Linked DNA regions of Tamandua tetradactyla. The main gene of each other region encodes a partner of the protein of the gene in region 2 in a complex. Links are inferred from orthologs where the notes say so. Each region holds a gene or a part of one and is shown on either strand. Other genes may lie near its edges. The genes, in order: S100A13 and IL1A.

Region 1 (8,196 bases), on a different chromosome or scaffold from region 2:
ACATTAAGTATAAATAACTCTTATTGCTTTTGAGGAGATTTTGCTATAAGGGGAAGCAGAGCTACAAAGTATGGCTGGAGGGGATGATAGGATTAAGGGGAAATTTATTCTATTTTTTTTAATGGAGAGATGATAGCGTATTTGTAAGGTGATTAAGAATTCTGATGATGCAAGAAAAAGGTCTATAATTGCAAGAGTGAAGTCTTTAAATAAGCGACAGGTTTGGGATGCAGGGCCCCAGCAGAGGGGATCAGAGGAGCAGAGACAGCATTCATGGTCACAGGAGGGCGTAGAATTTCCTTGTTGCTCCTATTTTCTCAGTAAAGAAGTAAAGTCAACAGAGAGACAGGGTGGGGTGGGGGGCAGGTAACGGAATTTGAGGAGAGGAATGTTGTGAAATCAGGATCTGAAAGAGCTGGGGAATGAATGGACCAGGGAAATGAAATAGAATTGCCGGGCGGGCGGTGTCAAGAGTCCCCTTGGGGCTTGTGGTTATAGATTTAAAGTGAGGCAAGTGGGCCTGGCTGAGTGCTTTTCTCCAGCCACATTCAGCTACACGGGTGCAGGCGCAGAATGTTGGATTTAACCAATAGGTTAACCAACAAGTTAATTTAGGTGGAATGTTGGATTTAACCAGGATTGAGAATTTGCGGGGCAAGTAGGACAAAGAAAGAGACAGAAGCAAAAGAGGTGAAGGAGTGATGATACTGAACCTTAGAACTCAAGCTGAATAAGAAGGGAAATGAGGACACAAGGGATGATGATGAAAAAAGGGTCAAGAGATTGGCAGTCCCAGTGGAGACAAGGAAATGCTGAAACGGAAGACGCAGATAGAGGAATAAAAATGGAAAGACAGGAGATGGAAGTTAGAGAAAGGAAGGCTTGAAATTGAGGTATTGGACGTGGTATAGGGTTTTGATTTACTTCTTTATTTTTCTTTTAGTAAAGAGAAGACCTAAAGCATGAATATAGGATTAGGATGCTGAGATACTGGAGGACAGAATCTTTGGAAGTGATTTAAGAAATCAAAGGGCTCGGGTGTCAGATGAATTGTCTGAGTGGGTTCTGAACCCACTGAGAATCACGCCAGAAGCAGTGATGTGATAAACAATAAGCTAAGGGCTGAAGGGGTACAGGGGAGAGCAATGAGAGAGGGGCAGGAGTATATGATCTTCCAAGGAGCCGGGAGACTTAGGAAGAAGGAAGAACTAAGACATGCAAACAGCAATGAAAAGCAGAAAGATCACCTGGGGCATTTCCGGGCCTGGAAGGAGGTGGAAGAATAAAACAGTTCAGGCTTGACAGGGCTGGAGGAAACGCGGCACCTTCAGAAGAGAGCCAGGCTTCCAGTAAGAAAACAAAGGGAAAACTCTAAGCCTGAGGACAAAGGGGGTTTTATAGCAGATAGACTATGAGTTTCAGAGATTCGTGTGTGTGTGTGTGTGTGTGTGTGTGTGTGTGTGTCTATGTTTAAATCCACATTCACACACTTTTATCTGCCTGGGAATTTTCAGACAAATTCTACAAGACCCTGTTAACAGCTTGTGAATAACAATGAAAGAATTTGAAATCCTGACTTCCACCTGTTAGGAAAGGGGTCAGGTGCACAGTTGGGGGGATTCTTAGATGGGTGGGAAGCACCCCAGCTGCTGCTTCAGGCCCCTCCTGCACTGAGATTCTTCCATTCCATGCATTTGGCAGTGCCCTTATTTCTGACAAGCTCTTTCCCACCGCCTCAGTTTCCAACACATGAAGCGAGGAGGTCAGGCCATGTTTCCTCTCTTGGCTTTTCTTCTAATTCTGCCTGGTGTCTGAACCTTCTGGAAGCCCGCTCTGTGCTGGGCAGCAGCAGAGCTGCGCAGGCAGAACACAGAAACCCAACAGGCATGGGGGGGTGGAGCACAGCGTCCACCGCACACTCCCGCTTGCACGGACACAGTATTCCTTGCTTACCTAACCACACACACAGGCACACGGCACACGCCAGACGAAAACCCAGCACCATGTACACACGGAGCCACCCACACCCTTCTCCCCATTCACACCTGTCGTCACACGAATCAGCTCACACGCGCAGGGCCTTAGGTACTCTCAGGCCTGCAGACCCTGGCCTACCTTGAGCAGGTGAGGCAACTGCTCAGTGGCCAGTTCCTTAAACTCCTGGGCGCTGAGGCTGCCCTTCCGGCCCTCCCGCCCTGCAAAGGTGAAGAAGGTGGTGACAACCGTCTCGATGGCAGCCTCCAGCTCAGTCAGCGGTTCGGCCGCCATTGGGGCGCTGGGCTGGAGCTGCCGCCCTCCAGGGGCTGACCTGTGGGATGGGGAAGGCACAGAAGGGAGAGTCAGGGAGCCTGGGACCTAGGACCAGGCCAGAGCGCTCCCTGCCCTGGCACGGCCACCTCAGGAATCTGCCTGGGAAGGGAGAAGGGGCCAGGGGGCCCGGTAGCAGTATCTCAATGTAGGAGGTGGGGAGGTGGGTTTTCATTTCCAGAACCCCTTCCTTGAGAGGCCGCACAGTCTGGGGATCCTTTTTTAAGTGTTTATGTCTGTTGTCAGTCTGGAGGCCCCTCGGTAGAGGCAGCTCTCATCTGGGCACCCCTTTGTGGAGCAGTCCCTCGGGGGGTTGTCCAAGAGCCGCTTCCTGAAGTCTCTCACCCGGCCAGCCGCAGAGGGTCATAAGGTTGTTTGTCTCCGAAACGTGTTTGTGTTCAGACCCGGGCGTGCACCCGCAGCGCTCCGCCCCCGCACCCTGACCACTCTTCCCAGAAGAGGAGCCCAGGGTCTGGCCGGTGCCCAGCTGCAGCCAGGGCGGCTCAGGCTGTCTCCTCCCTAGTCCCCGCCCGCCTCCCCTCAGGCACAGGTGCTGGGGCGGCTGCACAGAGGGCTGAGCCCAGGCCCCCGCGGCCCCCCCCCCCCCCCCCGCACCCGTCTCCAGCTGCAGGGGGCCTGGGCAGGACTGTGCTGGCCCTCGCGCCCACAGAGGGCCTGGGAGGGGAGGGTGTGGACACCCACAGCCCCGGGGAGGGGGCTCGGACTGAAGCAAGGGCACGTGCCCGGTCACCCCTCATGCGCCCATCCGTCCACACCCGCCACCCATCCCTGCACAGACTGCTGCTTGCTCTCTCCAAGCCACTTCCGGGATCCCCGTCGGAGATGCCTCCGGGGGAGGGAGCTGGAGCCCCGGGGAGGAAAGAGGGTGCCCAGGTTCTCCGGAGAGGAAGGGGGATGCGACTCACCAGGGCTAGGAGATGGGGTGCAACGAGCAGGAGCCTCGGGGCTGAGGTTTATAGGCGTCTGGGGAGGGAGGAGCCAGCGGCTCGCAAGCCCCGCGGGGCGAGTTTCCTCCGCGGGTTTTCTGGCGGGTGCCGCCCCGCCCCGCCCCCGGCCCGGAGGCCCCGCCCCCGAGCCCCCCCCCGTCGGGGACGCGCCCCCCCCCGCCCCGCCCGCCCCGCCCCCACTTGGGGCTCCCCGAGCTGCCTGGACAGACCCCGCCCAGCGGGGACCCGACCGTCCCAACACCTGGGAGCGCGCTAATCACCCCCCGCCCACCCCCACCCACCCCTGCCCTCCAATCGGGAGCCCAGAGACGCCCCATCAGAGAAACACCACAAATGCCCCCTCAGAATGAAACCCCACAAAGAAAGAGGTCCAGACTGACATCCCCAAGGAAGAGTCCCCGCATTGAATCTCTCAGAGGGATCACAGCCTGAACCCCAGGGAGATGCCCTAAAACTAACTTACTCACTGAGGGTCCTCAGGGGTCCGCGTGGAGGAGACCTGGGCTCCGAGGCCCTCAGAGTGGTCCTCGCTGAACAGCAGGGCTCAGCCGTGGCAGGGGCTCCACTGCCCAGCGCGGGTGAGGCGCCCCAGGGTCCCCCCCAGACCTGCCTTCCCCACCTCCCCTCCTCCTGTGTGCCCGCATGCTGGTGCCCAGCGAGGGAGAAGGGGAGCAGAACATGGCTGGGGAAGAGAACACAGGGTGGCCTGTTCCAGCCTGGAACACAGAGGGCGCCTCTGTCCACTCCTGGCCCCTTGCCCTACTGGGTGTCCGTGAGGGGGTGGAGCCGCGGGGGGGGCAGCGGGGTAAGGACGACTGAAGACAGGTCTCCCCACACAGCTCTGAAGCCACATTAGCAGCCTGGCCTGGCTGTCCAGAACCTGCTGTCATCTGCAGCCGGAGCTGACCGTGAGTACCCTGCCCCACCGAGCCAGGTCCCGGCCCAGGCCAACTGGGGGATAGGGGGCTTCAGAGGGGCTCCAAGGCTCTGGGGACAAGGACATTGTGGCAGACTGAGGGTCCAGGAGGAGTTCATCAGGATGGCAACAAGGTGGGGTTCGGGGGAGATAGGTTTTGGAAGGTGGTAAGGAGAGGCAGGTAAAGGTCAAGAGAGATGTGGGAGCATGGCAGGCAAGGAAACCAATGAGGTGCCTGCCCCTGAGCCCCAGGCCACAGGCCCCCACCAAGGAGCCCTCGAGTCCCCTGCCAGCTCTCCCTCAATCTCCCAGGAACCGAGGTGGGCACCCAGCCCTCCCTGTGCTTCCACTGGGTTAGAACAAGAGAACAGATAGACCCACTGCTTCTGGCCCCAGCCTCAGTCTCTGCCACCTCTGCCCACCCTGCCAAGAGCTCAGGTCCCAGGGAAGTCTGGAGGTGGCAGGGTGTGGTCATGTGATACCAGGAAGAAGGGGTACAAGGATATTGTACCCACTTCCAATTCCATCCCCACATGGCCTCCTCTTTCTCCTCCTCCCCTCTCTTGGCCTAGAAATCCAGACTCCTCTTTCTCTGTTCTCTTTGTTTGCCCATACCCACCCCCACCCCCACACTGCCGAAGAGCTCCTTTCAGAACTCCCCAGCACAAAACCCCAGCCTTCTCGAGGGCTCCAGGTGCCCCTCCTGGATGAGGCTGGAAACCGAGCCACCAGCACCTTCCCTCACACGCCCCCTTATCCTCTCCATCAGCCCCAGCTTGGATTCCATCTCTCCTCTGTCTCTGTGACAAATGCTTCTCATGTCCGGAGTTCAGGTGACACTCACAAGGGCCCCATTGAAGAGTTGGGATGTCATACGATCAGGGCCCATTGTTCAGCCCCCCACCCCGGGAAGGATGGGGACATCTGATCTGAGACATCTGAGCTGCCCCCTGAGACTGGGGAGGGGCTGACAGCCCCAGAGACAAAGGAAAGAGACCCACTGGCTTGACGGTCTCCCCTCTCCAGCCTCAGCAGTCCTCTCCATTCTTCTTCTCCCTCCCAGCCCCTCAAAGGACCTCAGGAATTGAGTCTTTATCTTCCCCAATACACACCGGCCCCATTCCCCCTTCTCTCACTGTCCCCACATCAACCAGGCTAGGCCTGGGGAGACAAGGCCCTACAGGTCTCCCCTCCCCCTCCCTGGGAGCCCTGGCTCCAGGGATAAGCCTCAGACATTCCTGTCCGTTCCCACCATTCCTCCAAGGGAAAGGCTGATTCTGCAGAGATGCAAGAGGAGCTGAACCAGAGGCAATGAGAGGCCTACCTCAGGGAAGCCAAAATGACGTGTTCTGGAAAGAACAAAGTTGAGGGACCAAAAGGAGCCCCCAAGCTGCTGACAGATAGCTTAATGGCTGTGAAAACCCCCCAAGGAGTCTTAGGCCACTCACTCCGACTGTCTCCCCTCCATTCAGGCTCACCAAGAATAGCACACTGACTCCTTGCTAATGGTGGGCCACAGAGTCAAGACCATGGAAAGGACCCCAGCTCACTGTCCCCAATAGCACACAGAGCCCGGCTATGCGGGCAAATGAGGCGCAGGGTAAAAATAGATTCAGAGGCAGCCTGGCCAGGCCCTGTGACCACTTCTGCCTGCCCCACCCTCCTCAGGCCTCTAGAGCCAGCCCAGTCACTCTCTCTCCAATGCCCCAAACCCTGTCTGGCTGGAATATGGATTAACGGACCCAAAGAGCAGGACTGGATTTAGTTCTGCCTGAGTTTTCCCTATTATAATATCTCAGTGAAGGGTGAATTGCTGTGGGGCTCCCATCTCGTGAGGGTTCGGACTGTGGGGTAGAGCCAGGCTTGAGACCAAGATTCCTCCCCGCCACCCCAACCCCGGATGCCCTGGGTCTGGTCCCCCACTCACTTCCATGGCGTGTGTGCTTGTGTGTGGGGGTGAACAGGTGAGCTGCCGCAATGGGCTCTGAGCTGGAGACGGCCATGGAGACCCTCATCAACGTGTTCCACACCCATTCCGGCAAGGAGGGGGACAAGTACAAGCTGAGCAAGAAGGAGCTGAAAGAGCTGCTGCAGACCGAGCTCTCCGGCTTCCTGGACGTGAGTGGGCAGAGGGTGGGATGGGCAAGTGGGCAGAATGGGGTGGACACGCTCCTGTCATCTCCAGTCCCGCCCCACCCCACCCCCACTCAGCCCAGCCTTCTCCCTGCTCTCCTAGACCTCTCCTGAATTTTTTCCAGGCCCCCCTACTCTTCCTGGTGCAACTCAAAATGCCCTGGTTTACTTGCATCTGATGCGCCTTTTATCTAGCATATGGATAGAGGAGTAAAAAATACGGATACAAAATAAACAAATAATTGGGGGGGACAAAGGTTAAAATAAATCAGGCAGTTGGAAATACTAGTGGTCAATGAGAGGGAAGAGTAAGGAGTATGGTATGTATGAGTTTTTCTTTTCTCTTTTTATTCCATTTTCTGGAGAGATGCAAATGTTCTAAAAATCGATCATGGTGATGGATACCCAGCTATGTGATGATATTGTGAGCCACTGATTGTACATGTGTGGAATGTATGTGTGCTAAGATTCATCACCGAAAATATTTTTTAAAAACAACAAAAATGCCCTGGTTTCTTGATCACCTGTTAAGTGAAGGCTGTGTATAGATTCATCAATAACAAGGCCGGAAGTACAAAGAGCTCTTAGAGGTACCTGCAAGGGGATGGGAGAACATTAACCTGATTACAGTGGGATGGCTTTTCCAAGGACATGCCACTTGAGCCATGGATTTCCACTGGCAGGTTATTGGGGTAAATGAAGACATTTTAGGAGGCAGTATCAGCATGAATAAAAACATGAGAGAAGAAAAGAAGGTGGAGCATGCTAAGTTTAATTTGACTGGAGTGAAGGATGCACAAAATTAGGCCACAAAAGCAAACGGGGGCCCTACGGTAAAAGAGAACCTTCAGGATACAGTAGGAAGTACACAGACACTTTATTTTTATTTATTTATAGACCCAGATTTGCATTCTGACCCTATCACTTTCAAGCTGTGTGACTTTGGCAGCTTGCTTAACCACTGACTGTCAATTCGTTTCTTCTCTAAACTGGGAATAATGAAATCTACCTCTCATAAAAAAATCTATTTTTGTGAGGAATTAGACAATGCCTGTGGAGCTTGGCACATTGAAGGCACTCCGAGGATGGTCACAGCTGTGACCATCGTTACTCCGCGCTGTGGAGGAGCTCATCCTGTGGGCAACAGGAGCCCATGGGTATTGGGGTTTTGAGGAGGGGAGCACAGGAGTCCCATTCGATGTAGTTCTGCCTCCTTCTCAATCAACGACCCTCCTTGCTCCTAACTCAGCGTCAGGCACGCTGGACTCGCCGTGCCACCGCCTCTCCCCCTCTCCCCTTCTCCCCCACCCAGGCCCAGAAGGATGCGGACGCGGTGGACAAGGTGATGAAGGAACTGGATGAGAACGGAGACGGAGAAGTGGACTTCCAGGAGTACGTGGTGCTGGTGGCCGCCCTCACCGTGGCTTGTAACAACTTCTTCTGGGAGAACAGTTGAGCAGACACCCCCAGTGGGCAGCGCCCTTCCCCTCCACCCTGGCAGATCTGCCCTTTGATCCGGCTTACCTCCCACCCCCTTTCCCCTCCCCACGCTCCTCCCATCCCCATCAAGGGCACAAGAGTAGTGGGCCAGGCCTGCAAGTGCACTTACATTAAAGGCTCTTCTTTGGCCAGCCACCCACTGTCTGCCTCTTCTGTAGCCCAAATGTTGGAGAGCTGCTTACTTCCAATTTGCCTAATTTGGGGAGAGGCCTTACGCCGCCGGGAGGTGTCTTACTGGGGGGAGGGGGGGGCATATACAGTCCTACTTGAGAAATGCTCAAGGCCCATGAACGTGGGGTTTCAACTTTCCAGCTGGAAGCTTCTAAGCTATAGAGCCAGAAGAATCTCTCCCTCAACACTCAAGAATATTTA
Region 2 (8,994 bases):
ACCCCCAACACCCTTTGGCATCCCCTGGCACCCCCAGCACCCCCTGGCACCCCCAGCACCCCTTGGCACCCCTTTCTAAACAGCCACACTGGGCCTCTGTGTGTGCCGTGGGCTTCTCCGCCAGGACAGATGGTCCGTGGAGGCAGTATCACAGCTGAACTGTTGCCACCAAGTCCTCCAAGAGCATCACCGCGTTTGAACAAACGAATGAGTGAACAAATGAACTGATAACCCTTAACAATTACAACCAGACCCCAGGTAGGAGAAGCTTGCGTTCTGCTGAGAACCTCTTTGCTTGCAGGCTGAGCAGGGCAGGGGGTTGTGGGGGTGGCAGGGCAGGTCTCAGCTCGGTGGGTGGAGGGAGGCGCTGGGTGACCACGGGAGGAACAGCTGAGCAAGGGGCAGAGGTGGAGGGAGGCCGTGCCAGGGATGGGACGGAGCCCCACAGGCACGCTCACAGGCAGCGGCTCAGGTAGACCTGACCAAACCCTGCGAAGTAAAATCGATGGCCTCAGTCTCACAGACGAGGCACCCGGGCTCCGAAAGTTCAGTGACTCGCCCAATGAAGCGTCACCGCCCTGCCCCTTGCACACAATGCCCTCGGCCTGGGATCTGTCCTCCATGGCCCCCACCCAGCTCTCTGAGGCTGGCGGCACTCTCCCGGAGTCCTTCCCGAAAGCCGGGGTCAGCCAGCCACATCCCCCCACGCCTTGGGGTCGCCCTCCCGTGCCCCCATGAGCCAGAAGCTGGTCCCTTCCCACCCCCTCCCTGTGGCTTCCGAGCGGGGCAGCTCCAGGCACGTTGGCGTGAGCTGTGAACCCCGGAGCGCGCTGTCCCCACTGCCCCATCCTATCCCGGCCAGGCTCTGTCCTCCCCAGGCCCCAAAGGGCCCTCCCGGACCAGAGGGCAGAGCACTAAGACCACACAGGAAGAGTGCAGGAGAGGGAAAGCTAGGCTCCTACTTCTTCCCCTTGGATGTTCATTTTCTTATCAAAACGCTTCAATGCTTGCCCAAACTTTCAGACTCAGAAAAAACCTAAACTTCCTTTTCTTGCATACTAACAAGGCCCAGCCGTCTTCGTGCGTACCAACCTTTCTAGAAAGCGAGGCTGAGTCATAATCACTCAGAAGATGGGGTAAAAAACGGTCATTCCCTTCTGATTTATCAACAACTGTTACATATTTCTGTACTTGGAAAGGAATTTATTTCTATTTATACTCAATGACAAATCAAATTTGCCACTGAAGTAATGAAGAAGAACAGAAAGAGTTAACCACACATCCGCCAGCGACAGCTCTGTGTACAACAGGGAGATTCCCCAAAGCAGGCACAAGGAGGGAGCCCAGATGTGCCACGGGCAGCCTGGAGGCCACGGGCAGGCTGGAGGCCACGGGCAGCCTGGAGGCCACGGGCAGCCTGGAGACCGCGGGCAGCCTGGAGGCCACGGGCAGCCTGGAGGCCACGGGCAGCCTGGAGACCGCGGGCAGCCTGGAGGCCACGGGCAGGCTGGAGACCGCGGGCAGCCTGGAGGCCACGGGCAGCCTGGAGGCCACGGTCAGTCTGGAGGCCACGGGCAGGCTGGAGACCGCGGGCAGCCTGGAGACCGCAGGCAGCCTGGAGGCCACGGACAGGCTTGGAGGCCACGGTCAGTCTGGAGACCGCGGGCAGCCTGGAGGCCATGGGCAGGCTGGAGGCCACGGGCAGCCTGGAGACCGCGGGCAGCCTGGAGGCCACGGGCAGCCTGGAGACCGCAGGCAGCCTGGAGGCCACGGGCAGCCTGGAGGCCACGGGCAGCCTGGAGACCGAGGGCAGCCTGGAGGCCACGGGCAGGCTGGAGACCGCAGGCAGCCTGGAGGCCACGGGCAGCCTGGAGGCCACAGTCAGTCTGGAGACCGCGAGCAGCCTGGAGGCCACGGGCAGGCTGGAGGCCACGGGCAGGCTGGAGACCGCAGGCAGCCTGGAGGCCACGGGCAGCCTGGAGACCGCAGGCAGCCTGGAGGCCACAGGCAGGCTGGAGGCCACGGGCAGCCTGGAGGCCGCGGGCAGCCTGGAGGCCGCGGGCAGCCTGGAGACCGCGGGCAGTCTGGAGGCCACGGGCAGCCTGGAGGCCACGGGCAGCCTGGAGACCGCAGGCAGCCTGGAGGCCACGGGCAGCCTGGAGGCCACGGGCATTCTGGAGCCCACAGAGCCAGGCCTGGAGGCTGCAGGCAGCCTGGAGGCCGCGGGCAGCCGGCCACCGCCGTGGCCACACTCCTCCCGTCACAGCTCCCCTCCAGGCCTCGTGCTGCAACCACCCCTGCTGGGGGAGGACAGTGCGAACCCCCCGTGTGAGGCTCAGCCCCTGCACGGCCTCCAGCCTCATGCCAGGCTTCCCACGGACACATAACAAGTGCTTTGAAGCGCATCGGGTCCTGTACACACACCCGGGTGCAGCGTTGTGGTGACATTTCAACCTGAAGTAGTGACTCCCTCGCACCGACGGTGTGGCAGCCGTTTTATTCTCCCAGATCATACTGGAGTCAAGATTTGGCCGAGATGAAAGCAGCTGATTAGGCTGTGATCTGTCTTACCGGAAAGCTCACCATCCAGGGGGTGAAGGCTCTGCCAAGGGAAAGCTACCATCGCCAGCTCCATCCAGGGACGCGTGTGGGGAGGGACATGGGGGCATACCCAGATCCCCAGCCCGGACTCTTCCAGGGGAAGGGAAGGCGTCGGGCGGCCATGCGGAGCCCCAGAGGAGGACGGACGCCTCGGTGCACAGGCGGAGACCTTGGGGCCTCTTGGCTCCTCTTGCCTGACTGCCAGTGAGGAGGGGGCTCATGGAGTGGGGCGCAGGGCCTCTACCGTCCACCTGCTCCCTGGATTTCGGGAAAGCCAAAACCTAAAGGCCCAGAGAAATAAATCTATATATATGCCCCGAAAAGAAGCACATCATCCTCTTTACATATTTCGTATCTCCTCAACAGCACCTGAAGACTTGTTTTAGAATCCAAAAAGTAAGACAGGTTCTTCTCTGAACTTGAGAAACAAGTTCAGCTCATGGATAACTGTGACTCCAAAGAGGGAAATGACTCAAAAGGAGAGGAATTGCTAAAGCCCGTTTCTGGTGAAGCAACCTACAGGAGTCAGCAGGAAGGCAGCGTGGCCCATGCTGCCCGCTGTGCCCTCTGCCCGGCAGTGCTCCCGGGGCGCTCTGACCCAGACACGCACCACCCGGCGGGCCCATGGGTGGGGATCAGAGCGCGCCACCCCCACCCCACCCTGCAGGCGGTCTGGGGTCCTGCGTCCTCCCACCAGCACCGCCCAGACAGCTGCACAGAAACTGGACCCCGCAACCCCGGACCCCGCACCACGCAGCCCTGGCCCCAAGCTGCCCCACCCGCCCTCCCCCCCTTACTGGCCTGGACGCCCCTCCCCTGGCCTGGAAGCCCCTCCCCTACCTGGAAGCCCCTCCCCCTAGCCTGGACACCCCGCCCCCCCAGGGCCGCGCCCCTCCCCCCACTGGCCCATCTCCCTGCACAGGTGTCCACAGGGTCATGGGCCAGGTGGGGGGCGGCCGCCCGCTCCCTGGGGCTTCGGTCCTGTTCATCCACAGGCAGGAGCACAGAGAGGCTGTGACGAGCAGGTGCCTCTAGCCGTAGGGTATTCTGAGTGAGAAATAGGAGGCAGTGGGTGTGAATTTCAGTTCCTGGCGCATATAAATTGTCCACGTGACCAAGGCAACACCTTCCACTCCACGTCTTTTATATAAGTGAGAGTTTGGCGCGGATGTCTCGCAGGGGCACGCTTCTCCCACGTAGAATCGCAGGCCTTCAGTGGGGCACCGAGGAAAGCAGAAGAACTGAAAAGAAATGTAAAAAGCAAAGGAAGGGCAGAGGCCACAGCGAGGGACAGAAGGGCTGCGGTGTCCGAGCCCGCCGGGGCGACGCGCCGACCTCACAGCTGTGGGCAGATTATTGGTCCCTCCAGCATCCCATGTCCTCATCTGTAGAATGTGAGAGCGAGTCCTGCTCCCACATGGGTGAGGACCCCAGGGACAGGGCGCTGCAGCACCCGGACACGGCTGCCCACATGGGACCTGCTCGGGCCGCAAGGCTGGCTCCCAGCCGCCCTTCTGGGACTTCGGCCCCGAAAGCGACAGTAGGGCCCGCCCCTCTCAGCACCTGGCTCACCAGTCCCTCTTCCAAAACAGTTTCCACAGCCATGTGCGGGAGGCAGTGCCAGGGCCCTGCGGCTGCTTTCTCCCTGCTGAGCTTGCGGGTGGTGCGGCCGCAGGCTGTCCTCAGGGTATAGACTGCACTGGCCACGGGGGCTACAGGCGGCACTGACGATTTGCGTTTAGCTGTGTCCCCATGGCCACCCTCGCACCCTGGGCACCTCGCACAGGTCCCCCAGCCCCGGCCTTACATTTCCCAAAGCAGGGGCTGGACAGGACCACACCCTAGGGGTGCTCGGCCAGCTGCGCCCGCCCTCCCGAGGCCCAGCTGGTCCTCCGTATGCGGGTGGCTCCAAGATCTTGTTCATGACGATCATGACACGTCGACGGCCAGCAGGTGCGGACGCCGGGGCTGGTAGGTCAGGCCGTACGGCCTCCCCACAGTCCCACCCAGCGGCGGCTGGAAGAGACGGCGCCGCCCGCATGCACCACTTTGCACCCATTCTTGGCTGCGTCGCTTTCATGCCATGCGGCTTCTTCTCCTCTTCGCTCTCCTCCTCTTCCCTCTGCTTCCTTTATTTCAAGTTGATGTGGCTCAGACTCCCCTGGGGAACTGGACACGCTCATCTGCTGGGCAGCCTGGTGGTCTCAGGCCACGGGGACAGCCCTCCACCAGGACAGCTCTCCCCAGCCCCTCGGGGTCCACAGCCCTGGAGGCTGCCCCAGCGGCCACACCGGCCTCAGGCGCAGTCACGGCCTGGGGGTCCCGGGGACGCTGCGGCCACTATGCTGCCCCCCGCAGTCCTGGGCACCCTCACCAGCCCTGGGCTCGCACACACACGCATATGCACACTCACCAAATGCATGTGCACACACATATGCACACGTGCACGAACACACATGCACACACAAACGCATGTGCACGCACACACAAACACATGTCCACACACATGCACACGCACACAAACGCATGCGCACATATGCACACATGCATGAACACATATGCACACATGCACAGACAAACGCATGCGTATACGTGCATGCACACAAACTCCAAACACAGACCAAGCCACAAAACACTCCCCCAACTCTAGCCACCCGTGATCCTGATCTCGGGATTCCACCCTTCCTCCCCACCATAGTTTTTACAAACTTGTCATTTCCTGCTCTTCTCCCTTTTTCCACAACTACAGGTCTGTGATTATAAACAGCAAAGCAATAAATAAACAAACCAAGTCAGTTCAGTCCTGGAATCTCTGAAAACAATTTGGCAAAATTATCTAGCAAGTCATTATTTTGTCCAGTATCAAGTTGAGCAAATTCCAGAGCTGCAGAAACAGAATTCTTTCCTGTAAATTCCCCATGACGTCCTCGCGGCCACGCCTACTCAGGACAGTACAATAGGCAGGGCCCTGGCTGCCGGCCACAGAGGCAGTCATTTCAGCACAGCCAACACAGGTACCGTCGTCCCTCCGGCACGGGGGCTGCTGGACGCCTTTTCCCCCTTGCTGCTTTCCTTCCAACTTCCTTCTCTGACGTCTCCCTGGCCCTCCCTTCCCCTGGCTGGGTGAGCTGGGGCCAGTCAGGTCTCAGAGGAACCTGTGTCGTCCTGAGACGGGGAGCCGGCTCCCTCAGGGGCGCTGGCGGGCACCGTGCCTGCCCTCTGGAGGGCACCGGAAATTCCCGGCCCTGCCGCTGCCTGGCATCTCTCCAGGGCAGGCGCTGGCGCTGGTGGTCTTTGACCTATCAGACCACTGTGTGCCATGCCAGACCTGAGGCAGAGTCTAGAAGAGGGTTACAGTTCCATGGGGGCGGCAGATGGTATAAAGTCAGAGTGGAGGAGTGGACGGGAGGAAGGGGGAGACGCTGAGGGTGGCCTCTGGGGCCCGCTCCCCCAGAAGCAAGAGGGGGTCGTTTGCTCTGCAGGCCCCCTGCTCAGAGACCGTTCCTGCCAGCAACACCGAGATGGCCCGAGTCCCTGACCTGTTTGAAGACCTGAAGAGCTGCTACCGGTAACAGATCCTGCCTCAGGTTCCACGGGGGCTGCTGGGGGCTTGCTGGCCCCAGCTGGTGGGGGGGGCGCAGGGGGCCAGGCCTGGGGAGGCCGAAAGAGTTTTCTGCTATCTGTGAGGTCAGGGGGCTTCGGCAGAGACCAGCATGCGAAACCAGTTTAGAAAACCAGTGTCTGAGGTCTGTCCCACCCCATGCATGTCACATCCACTCGCACACAGGCCCGGTCGAGGCCACGTGACACGGGGACACGGGCGTTCGTGGACTGATGGAGAGAGAAACCGTTTCAGGAAAGCTTTCTGATCCCACTCCAAATGGGAACTGGCTCACAGCCCAGCCTCGACAGACAGGACAGATGTTCAATGCATAAACTCTTAAACCAACACAGCACGACCCTAAGTGTGATATATAGTAATGCAGGCTGGACTTCCAGATGGTGCTTGGAGGCTTCTGCCAAGTATAAACGATTAAATCTGTCTTAGTGAATACATGAAAACAATGTGTGACACGTGGTCTGCTTGGTTAAAACAAAAACAGAGGTGCTTCGAAAGTCCCCTTTTGAAGTGCTTACCATGTTACTCTGAAATTCAGTCACAAGGCTTTAGCACGTGAGCAGAGCCGTGCTTCCACAGATAAAGCTCAGCTAGAGTCCACGCCCGGTCCTGCTCATCCCAGGTGGGCGAGCCCCACCTCGCTGGCGGTGACTGTGCACAGAGGCCCTTAATTTTCAAACATGATGGCAAGTGCCAAGGGTGTGATGGCAGAGCTGGCGCAGTCGTGAGGGCACGTTGCCTGGCGACCACAGAGAGGAAACAAACAGCTACATCCCCGCGTCCTGTTTTGACAGTGAGGATGGCGGCTGTGGGCCCGGCAGCGGCGGCGGCGCCCTGGACCAGGTAAGACGGCGGCCGAGGTGTCGGGACGGCGTGCCCAGGCGGGAGCAGCGATGGCGAGTCCGGGCCGGCCTCCCAGGGTGTCTGAGACCCCTAACCAGCTTGCAGAACTGGACAGGACGGTCCCGAAACCCCAAGGCCAGAGTCCCCCGGCCCGGCCTCACAGGCCCCCCGGCCACACGGCCCGAGAAGGACAGGTGTCCTCACTGGCACCCGCCCAGGTCGAGAGGCAGCCCGTCCCACAGCGAAGGAAGCGAGACCCCGGGCAGAGGGACGTGCAGTCACTGCCAGGCTATGCCTGTCTTCAGGGCGGGCTTCAAAGCTGCTTCCACAGGGGAGCCCTAAACTCCTCAGAGCTTAGCCTCAGGGAGGAGCTAGCACGAGGCTATGCTCAGGCTGGTGCTCGCCCAGGGTGTAGCTCCTCATTTTCGGCTTAGCCCATGAAAGGCAAAGTCTTCCTAGGAGAGCACATCCTTTCAAGGAAATCCTGGAGGAGGGAAAGAAGGAGGGAGGGAGGAGGAGGGGAGGAGGGAGGGCAGGGGGGAGGGCGGTGGGGGAGAGGGGTCAGGGGGAGGGAAGCACAGGAGAGGGCGACTGAAGGGTGCCCTCTGCTCCCACGGCAGCCTTGCAGCTTCCTGTCCCGTCCCCAGAGATCCTTCTATGAAGCGAGCTATGGCGCGCGTCCTGAGGGCCACGTGGATAAATGCTGGCCTCTGAGTGCCCCTGCAGCCCCTGCGAGACCCGAGCTGGCCTTGGAGGAGAGTGTGGTGGTGGTGACAGCCCGAGGAAAGGTCCTGAAGAAGAGGCGAAGGAGCCTGAGTGTGGAGGGCAGGGTCGATGGCCTGGAGGCCCCCACCACAGAGCTGGAGGCAGGTGAGGGAGCCCCGTCCCCACTCGGCCACTCTCAAGCGAACGGGCACTGCGGCGGAGGGGGGAGAAAACCTGGAATCAGAGAAGCAGGAGGGCAGCGGGCACTGGACACACCCGCAGGAAGGGAAATCAATCTTAATCCCTCTGCGCGGGGCGGGCTGGAATGCTTGTCCCCAGGCCTGTTACCTGGAGGTTTGTAAAGGACCTTCAGCCCTCAGGGAGAAGGCAGTGCGTACTGTTGCCTGGCGACCACCTCCAAGCCAAGCTCCTCTACTTCCCAGCTGTCCTCCTTGGGCAGTCCCCCAGTCCTCCTGAGCCTCAGTTTCCTCTGCTCGGAAGTGGAGAACTCAGGGTCCGGCCTCACCGGAGAGCTGTGCCGGTCCCAAGCGTCAGGACTCCCCAGTTCCGGCCAGAATATCACCCGGTATACAGTAGGCATACAATCAGTGTTGCTGCTGCTGCTCTCATTAGGGGGAGCCTGCGTCCCTAGCCATCTGTCCAGCGCCCGGCAGGACCTCTGACTCCCTGAAGCCCGAGAGTTGAAGGTCACATGGAGGAAACGAAGGGCTGTCCCGAGCCGAGCAGCGGGGTTGCACATCCCTCCCGCGCCACCTGATCGAAAGCCATGTGTGTTCTCGTCGCCTTCACCCTACAAGCTTCCCATGAGTCCTGTTTCTAACATTACATCTGAATAATAACACACATTCCTTCTAAAAGTTGGAAGATGCAAGGAGAAGTAGAAATCACTCTCCCTCCAGTGCTGTGGCCATTCCTTAGGGCCGTGTCCGAGGGCCAGGGCAGGACCGCGCTGTCTGCTGGTCGGGAGCCCGTCCTGGAGGCGTGGCAGGGAGCATCGGGCACGAGGTTCTATCTGCACCGTCGCCTCGGGGGGCACTGGGGGGGGAGGCCCGGGCCAGCCTCGGTGACATGCGCGGCCTGCAGTGGTCTTGGCTTCCTCCGGGCACGCTCACGTGCAAGCCAGGCAGGCGGTGGCACCCGGGCACTCAGAAACGACCCAACAACCAAAACCGAGAGCACTCCACTAACCATCTCGGGGCACAACA

What was found.
Region 1: the proteins of IL1A (region 2) and S100A13 are in contact, whole or in part, in an NMR structure (PDB 2L5X), measured with the Homo sapiens proteins. The link is inferred for Tamandua tetradactyla from reciprocal best matches to the Homo sapiens genes IL1A and S100A13. Residues at the interface, in NP_000566.3 of Homo sapiens: Asn148, Gln150, Tyr151, Thr194, Ala195, Gln196, Asp197, Leu203, Leu204, Lys205, Glu206, Met207, Gly216, Ser217, Glu218, Thr219, Asn220, His239; in NP_001019381.1 of Homo sapiens: Met1, Arg25, Gln26, Glu27, Gly28, Arg29, Lys30, Asp31, Ser34, Asp68, Ser69, Glu70, Lys72, Phe73.

Annotation. Positions count from the first base shown.
Region 1 is NC_135330.1:6,428,214-6,436,409, forward strand, and holds the start of S100A13 (protein S100-A13), read right to left. Parts: upstream 3,382-8,196; 5' UTR 3,234-3,381; intron 2,309-3,233; 5' UTR 2,269-2,308; coding exon 2,116-2,268; intron 1-2,115. Other genes in the region: S100A1 (protein S100-A1), read left to right, coding at 6,169-6,309, 7,637-7,780. UniProt on the Homo sapiens protein: Plays a role in the export of proteins that lack a signal peptide and are secreted by an alternative pathway. Binds two calcium ions per subunit. Binds one copper ion. Binding of one copper ion does not interfere with calcium binding.
Region 2 is NC_135343.1:336,778-345,771, forward strand, and holds the start of IL1A (interleukin-1 alpha), read left to right. Parts: upstream 1-5,597; 5' UTR 5,598-5,615; intron 5,616-6,083; 5' UTR 6,084-6,122; coding exon 6,123-6,169; intron 6,170-7,014; coding exon 7,015-7,063; intron 7,064-7,710; coding exon 7,711-7,933; intron 7,934-8,994. UniProt on the Homo sapiens protein: Cytokine constitutively present intracellularly in nearly all resting non-hematopoietic cells that plays an important role in inflammation and bridges the innate and adaptive immune systems.